2 linked regions of the Ovis aries genome follow. Each later gene encodes a partner of the first gene's protein in a complex. Links are inferred from orthologs where the notes say so. Each region holds a gene or a part of one and is shown in the gene's direction. Other genes may lie near its edges.

Region 1 (3,748 bases):
GGTGGTCCAGTGGCTAAGACTCTGCACTCCCAGTGCAGGGGGCCTGGGTTCAATCCCTCGTCAGGGAACTAGATCCCACACGCTGCAACTAAGAGATCTTGCGTGCCGAAACTAAGACCTGGTGCAGCCAAATAAATATTTTAAAACAAATAAAGAACAATAAATAAACAAGGCTGTGTGCATGTAAAAAAAAAAAAGTAGGTGCAAACATCATGACAGTTTTTTCAAACATCGTGTGTTATCCCCAGATACTTCAGCAAGCATCTGCCAAGAATAAGTATTTCTCCTGAACAGCCACAATATCATGAAGTGAAAGTGAAGTCACTCAGTCCTGTCCGACTCTTTGCGAGCCCGTGGACTGTAGCCCACCAGGTTCCTCTGTCCATGGGATTCTCCAGGCAAGAACACTAAAGTGGGTTGCCATTTCCTTCTCCAGGGGATCTTCCCAACTGAGAGATCGAACCTGGGTCTCCTGCATTGCAGGCAGATGCTTTACCCTCTGAGCCACCATCAAACCTAAGAAATTGAACACTTCTCCAACACAACCCAATAATCAATCCATACTCAGATTTCCCCAACTCTTCGAAAAAAATTTAGCCTTTTCCTTTCAATTTAAGATTTAGACAACATTCATACATTGAATTGTTGTGTCTCTTTAGTCTGCCTTTTTGAGTGTGTGTGATAATTTACTTTGTTTTTAAGAGACCAGTACCTCTTATACAAAGTCATAGACATGTTTTTGTCCGATGTTTGTCCCTCTGATTAAATTAAGTTCAGTAGTTTCAGCCATCCCTGTAGGCAGTCATATCAGTAGACACTTGATGAGGTTCTCTTTATTGGTGATACCCTGTTTGGTCTCTTGTTCAAGGTGGTGACACTCAGACTTAAGTCATCAGTGGAGTGACACTTTGAGTCCTCTGTGCACTGTTTGTCCCTATGATTAAGTTCAGTACTTTCGGCCGGCTGTGTAGGTGATCACATCAGGAAGCACTTGATGAGGTTACCTCTTTATCGGCCTGCTGGTGATCCTTGTCTGATTTGTTTGAGAGTGTGTGTGGCAAAATGGTCATTTTCTAATTTGCTCATTTCTTCTACGTTAATTAGCTTATATTCTTCCATAAAGAAGGAACTTCCTCTCTTTAAAATTACTATTGAGTGATAGTAACTTCTTCCCTTGCACTAGTTTTCATTCACAGACTCCCATTTAAAATCTTTTATATGCCAGATTGCATTCATCATTCTTCCATTTTTGTTAAGTGAAGCCATTATAATTGCCAATATGATTGAGCTTTATTGGGTATGAGATGACAAGTGCATCCACACTGAGAAATGTAATTATACCAAAAACTAGGGAACCTAATACTTTAGCCTCTCTGACATAAATAGGGAGTCATGTAGAATCCAGGCTTCTGCATTTGGACAGAGATTAGGTTGTCATTCTCCTGACCACCTTACCAGGAACTTGGGCTTGCAGCCAGTGGCCCAGCCTTTCCTCTCACTTTCTTCCTTGATTATCAGGCTCCACCAACTTTTCTGACCTCACAGCTCCTAAAGGTCCCTGCTTCCAGTGACTCCCTTTGCAAAGACCAGGGTTTATATTTGGTTTTTAGGATTGTATATGCAGATTAGCTGGGAAATGTTTGATTTTCCTCAGCAATGTCTCAAGTGATTGCCATTCTTCTGAGGGCTTCTCTATATCCTAAGAGACATGTTCTAATATAGGGCTTTTCTCATCCCTTGATGTTCTGTCCATATCATCAGGTTCTTCCTTTCTCACTTAGAATAAGGGTTTCCTGACCATGATTTTCTGTAACCTTTCCCCCCTTATTACAAATCAGTACTGTTTATTAGAGGCTTCCCAGGTGGCCCTAGTGGCCTGCCCATGCAGGAGACGCAAGAGACACAGGTTCAAGCCCTGGTTGGGGAGATCCCGTGGAGAGGGAAATGGCAACCAGCTCCAGTATTGCTACCTGGAAAATCCCCTGGACAGAGGAGACTGGCTGGCTTCAGTCCATGAGGTTGCAAAGAGTTGGACACAACTGACCACATATTGTTACTTAGACAAAAATTAGTAAATACCGATGAGCAAAAAGTTATGTAGACATTTTGGATTCTCTTAGTATGGGTTGGGCACTTTTATATAACTCGCTTAGGCCTGACAAGGAACCTAGGATTTATATTATCTCGTTTTTTCTTCCTTTGCAGTTGAGGGAAATGAGACTTGAGGTTAAATGAGTGGCTTAGGTTCATTAGCTAATAAGTTGCAGAGCCAAGAATTGTTATATTACCCTTCCAGAGCTTTTTCCTCTATGTGTTCATGCTGAATTACTTCAGTTGTGTCTGACTCTGTGGGACCCATGGACTATAGCCCGCCAGGCTCCTCTATCCAGGGGATTTTTTAGGCAAGAATATATACATACATAAAAAATAAAATTCAACAGCAGTCTTTTTAATCCAACATTCTTCTCTTTCCCCTCCTCCCGAACCTATCCTCAGGATCGACGAGAATGTGTTGGGAGCCCAGCTGGACGTGGAGGCCGCCCACTCAGAGATCCTCAAGTACTTCCAGTCGGTCACGTCCAACCGGTGGCTCATGGTCAAAATCTTCCTCATCCTCATTGTCTTCTTCATCATCTTCGTGGTCTTCCTTGCCTGAACCCTCTCCACTCTGAGGCACTCCATGGGGGTTTGGAACCCTTCTGGGAGGGCAGGTGGCCAGAGCTGCCACTGAGCCTGTGCAGGGTGCTTGGGAGAAGGGCCCTGTTTCCTTGGAACTGCTAAGAATGACCACTGCCCTCGGTCCCCCACTCCTTGCCTCTGGCCACCCAGCCCTCCCCTCACCACCCTCCAGCCCATGAAACACACACGGTTCTGGATTTGGACTCTGCTGTGAAGTGGCTGGAAAGGAGCAGAGGCCAACTGAGGGGCTCGTCCGGGAGATTGTCTCCACCAGGAGATTTTTATAAACCCTCCCCAGCCTGTCGCAAAGGGAACTTTGGCAGCAAGGGGAGATGATGCCTTTCCCCACCTTCCTGAGAGCAAGGAGAGGAAGTGAAACTGCCCCAGGGACCAACTTTCCCATCTGGGTTAGAATTTGACTTCTTCCTCTCCACGACATGAGGCAGGGGGCCCTGAGCCCCTCGGCGGCCTGCACAACCCCAACTTTGGCTGCAGGTGACTCTCAATCTGCCAAACGTGCTGCAGCCCGTTTTCTCCCAATTACAGCAAGACTGTCAGCCTCACTAGCCATGTCGTCATTTCTGGGTGGGAGCGCCGAAGAAGGGCCTAGGCAGAAATGGAGGGAGCCTGCTGCCCAGTATTACAACTGAAAGGGCTGGACTGATGACCCTGAGGGGCCAGGCTTTGGGCTCTGTATACACAGCTGCTTCCAGCAGGCCTAACCCAGTGCAGCAGTACTTAATTATCATGGAAAATTCCCTTCAAAGCAGGGTATACGATCCCAGAGTGGGTCTCTGATTAGTGGTAACTTCTAGGACCATCTCCAGAAGTATTTGGACCTGTTTCATCTGCATCTTCCAGTCCTACCGTTTTCCTTGGGCTGGATGAAGCAGGAGTTCTGCCTGCTGCCAGGAGTGAAAGGTGAAGAATTTGTTCCCAGCTCCAGCTGAGGCTCTTGGTCCCCTCTTGAAGCCCCTCACCAAATCCAAACCAGTCACAGGAGAATGAAGTAGAGATCTGCCTGGAATACCTACCCTACCCTGGAAGGTCAATATGCTTGTCAGTCCTG
Region 2 (4,067 bases), on another chromosome or scaffold:
CCTGAAGCATAAAAGAGAAGACCAGGGAATCATAAGCTTCATCTTCAGTTATATAAGAGGCTAAGACTCTATCAACAAATATTTACTGAGGGCCTAACATGTGCTGGGGTTCCTAGTTGGTTCAGTGGTAAAGAATCTGTCTGCCAGTGAAGAAGACACAAGAGATGCTGGTTCGATCCTTGGGTTGGGAAGATCCCCTGGAGGAGGAAATGGCAACCCGCTCTGGTATTCTTGCCTGGAAAATTGTATGGGCAGAGGAGCCTGGTGGGCTACAATTTGTGTGTGTTAGTCACTTAGTCGTGTCCGACTCTTTTGTGACCCCATGGACTGTAACCCTCCAGGCTCCTCTGTCCACAATCATGCCCTCACTTTAGTAACTCACAGGCCACGATAATATGTAATATTTTTGTGGGTTCCAGAGGGTAGACCCCCAGTGCAAGGTGGGGGTCTGGGGAGGGGGTTGTCTAAGTGACATGCTGCTCAATGTAACAGACTTTTTTCTAAGCCCGAGCTGCCCTGAAATGCCCTGCTCAAAGGTGGTGAGTGCAGCGGGACTGCAGTGTTCAAGCCGGGCGCCAGCCAGCCGCCCACCTGTCAGAAACTGTGCCAGGAGTATGCGGGAGAAGAGAGTTCCGCCTCGGGTGAGGTCACTTCCCACCCCCAGATGCTCTGCCTACAAAATCTCGCAAGTCTCTGACGCTGTATTTTATTCTTTTCTGAATTTCAAGGTCTCATGATGTTGACAGCTCCAAATTCTAAGTCCTCAGTCTGCCCACACTCGCGGACCCAAAAGAAAGGAAGCCGGATTCAGCCTGGGTCCTACCACCCACTGTCTCTGGGGGTAGTCAGCGCCCCCTCCCCGCCTCGCGGGGGTTCTGAAGAGAGGTAACTCGCGCGCGGGGTGCCGAGGACGTCGTGGGGAGATGGGTGTTCCAGAGATGGAGTTGACAGGGCAGAGACATGTGACAGTCGAAGCGTCACGTTCCGTGGTCTGAGAGGTTGGGACCAGGCCGGTCACATGACGCGCGCGGGGGGGTTTGCACTATGGGGTGATGCGAATTGAGAGGGCCTCACAGATCACGTACCAATGACGCATTCCCACCCCTTTTGGCAACTAGATTTCCGCTGGAAGATGCGATAGTTCCGGCAAAGGGGGCGGGTTCTCACGTCCTGGCAATTTCGCTTCCGTTCGGGGCGCTGAAGCTTCCGACCTCGGCCTTTCCCTGGGGTGGGGAAGGGACGCGATCCGGTGCGCATGCTCCAGTCTTTCCAGAGGGGGCGGGGCTGAGGCTACAGGAGAGGGCGGGGGGAAAGAAAAGGGAATTCCAACCTGTGGAATCTTGGGGGTCCCCGAGGTCGGCTCCTTCCCTTTGAAACTGTGAATGGTGCCAGGGACAGAGCCTCTAGCGACTCTTGGGGGAGGGTTTGGGGCCTGCAGGGTGAGGGCGGAGGGGAGTGTCAGAGTGTGAGTTGGGTACGGGAGTTCCAAACTTAGAATCTTGAGGCCCGCCGGGCTCCGGCGCCGGCGAGAGGGATCTCGGGCCGCCATGCGGGACAGGACCCACGAGCTGAGGCAGGTGAGAATTTGGCGCAGCAGGGTTGGGGACGGGTGGACGGGATGGGGTCTACTGGAATGCAGGACTCCTGGTCCTCGGGGCCGGGAGGGATGACTGTGGGCTAGGAAGGAAAGTCCCGGAAGCCCGTGAGTTCTACTGGGGGAGAGCAGTAGCAAGGAAGTGATGCCAGTGACCCCGGCCCTGGCAGGGGGATGACAGCTCGGACGATGAAGACAAGGAGCGAGTCGCGCTGGTGGTACACCCGGGTACTGCACGGCTGGGGAGCCCGGACGATGAGTTCTTCCAGAAGGTAAGAGGCTGGAGTCTCGGCCTGGATTCACGAGGGGCCTGGAGGGCCCGAGGAGCAGAGCAGCCTGGAGCAGCGCCCACATCTCCCTCAGCCCTCTCGGTCATCGTCCCCAGGTTCGGACAATTCGGCAGACTATCGTCAAGCTAGAGAATAAAGTCCGAGAGTTGGAGAAGCAGCAGGTCACCATCCTGGCCACGCCCCTTCCCGAGGAGAGTGAGTGAAACCCCGGGTGCAGAACGCATGCTCAGCTGGAGGCTTGTGGGGGTTGTAGTTCCACACAGGTGGTGGCCAGGGAGATTTGTTGAGGTAGAGGTTGCTATTTGGGCATCATGGCTTTCTCTTGTTTAGGCATGAAGCAGGACCTGCAGAACCTGCGTGACGAGATCAAACAGCTAGGGAGGGACATCCGCGCGCAGCTGAAGGGTGAGCTCCTAGGACTTTAGCCAGATACTTTCCTCTGATCCTGCCCAACTCCTGGTATTTCTGGGCAGTGTGTGGTCCAGAGAGGCCAGTGATATATATCCAGGTCACACAGCAGGCCAACGTCTAGAATCTCCATCTCCTGGCTTTCGGTCCAAAGTTCTTTCCACAGCATATGCCTGCCTCTCAAGTTCCCTTATTTATAATGAAACCATGTCCATTTGATCTTTGTCCAAGGCAGAGGTTAGCGTTGCTACCTCCACCTTCAGGTCGTTATCTGCATATAACTGTATAGTCTGCCGTCCACATCCCAGGTTCTGCAAGGGTGGATTCATGCAGTCATGGATTGTGTAGTACTGTAGTATGCATTTATTTTCTAAAAATTCAGGTATAAGTGGACCCACAGTTGTGCAAGGATCATCTGTACTCCTACAATTCTTGCTGCCCAGTGTGTATTCTTTGGGTGGGAAGATGTGGGTTTTGTTAGGAAGCTTCTCCAAACATGTGGGAATTCTCTGATGTATTTATTGCAAAGAAAAATATACTTTTGCCTGTCAGAGGCTCAAGAGTAGTCATTTATGATGAATTTTATTTCAAAAAAAAAGCTCTGTGGAGATATTGTATCTCTCTCTATTGTATGGCTGCATGGCTGGGTCCCAGTCCCCAAATGAATTTCAGAAGCCAGAGGTCAAACCCCCTCCTCTACCAATACTTCTGTGTCTTTCCACAGCCATAGAGCCCCAGAAGGAGGAAGCTGATGAGAATTATAACTCCGTCAACACAAGAATGAGAAAAACCCAGGTGGGTTCATTATTCCCAGAAGTAGGACATTTCAGCAAGTGTTCAATAGATCATTAGATGGCAGATGTAAGAAGGCAGGGCTCTTAGAGATCATTAAATCCAACCTGATGATTTTCCAAATGAGGAAACTGAGGCTCAGAGATAAAAAAGGATTTACCCCAAGGTCAAGAACCCGGGTTTCCTGACTTCCAATCTGTTATAACACCTTGCCTTCTTCTCCTCCATTCAGTGAGAAGTTGCTGAGACCCCAGACATGATCTGGGCTTGGTTGTAGGAGATATACTTTCTAGAAGCCAAGATGGGGAGTTAAGCTTGCATAGATGACAAAGACATTACTCAGGTAGGACTTGGTAGTTAATGGCTCTGCCCAGGGAAAAAAAGGGTGCAGTCAAGTGACTGGGTGGTTTCCTACCCATGTGATGAGGACATCCTCTGCCCCAAGGACAGAATTCAAGTCAGGAAGAGGAACTTCCCTGGTGTGTGTGTATGGGGAAGGTCACTGAATCATCATCTTAATAAGGAGATTTGAAATGGTCTGAGCAGTGTCCTCTGGGTGCCCAGAGAGGCATGGTTTGGAGTTCTTGGAGGTCAGAGTTGGAGTAGGTGGGCCCAGAAATCAGCAAAGACCCCAGATTGAAGATTAAACAATTTGGGGATTTTTTTTTTAATGGAAGAGAAGGAAAGAGTAGTTTTATTACTTTGCCAAACAAAGGGGGGAACACAGTAGGCTAGTGCCTCAAGAACTGCCCCCCCACAATTTGGGCATCTTGAAAGGGTGCAACTGAACCCAGGACAGCAGATGTGTCCTGGAGAAAGGAACTCCAAGGAATGAGCAGATTTTAGGCATCAGGAAAATGGACAAGCAGGGAAGGCATTTACAGGGGGTGGGGGGCTTGTGGTAGTCATTGTGTGAGAGGCTGAGTGCCCAGGTGGGCCTGCAAAATCTGGGAAATGCAAAATCCTGGCACACCTTTAGTCTA

The links. The genes of interacting proteins can lie anywhere in the genome.
Region 2: STX5 (region 1) and STX4 share a complex: the UniProt entries of both Homo sapiens proteins name them as parts of the SNARE complex. The link is inferred for Ovis aries from reciprocal best matches to the Homo sapiens genes STX5 and STX4.

Annotation. Positions count from the first base shown.
Region 1 is NC_056074.1:37,649,240-37,652,987, reverse strand, and holds the end of STX5 (syntaxin-5), read left to right. Parts: intron 1-2,496; coding exon 2,497-2,656; 3' UTR 2,657-3,242; downstream 3,243-3,748. UniProt on the Homo sapiens protein: Mediates endoplasmic reticulum to Golgi transport.
Region 2 is NC_056077.1:27,673,406-27,677,472, forward strand, and holds the start of STX4 (syntaxin-4), read left to right. Parts: upstream 1-1,262; 5' UTR 1,263-1,547; coding exon 1,548-1,577; intron 1,578-1,764; coding exon 1,765-1,866; intron 1,867-1,979; coding exon 1,980-2,079; intron 2,080-2,214; coding exon 2,215-2,289; intron 2,290-2,791; exon of another isoform or gene 2,792-3,016; coding exon 3,017-3,087; exon of another isoform or gene 3,088-4,067. UniProt on the Homo sapiens protein: Plasma membrane t-SNARE that mediates docking of transport vesicles. Necessary for the translocation of SLC2A4 from intracellular vesicles to the plasma membrane.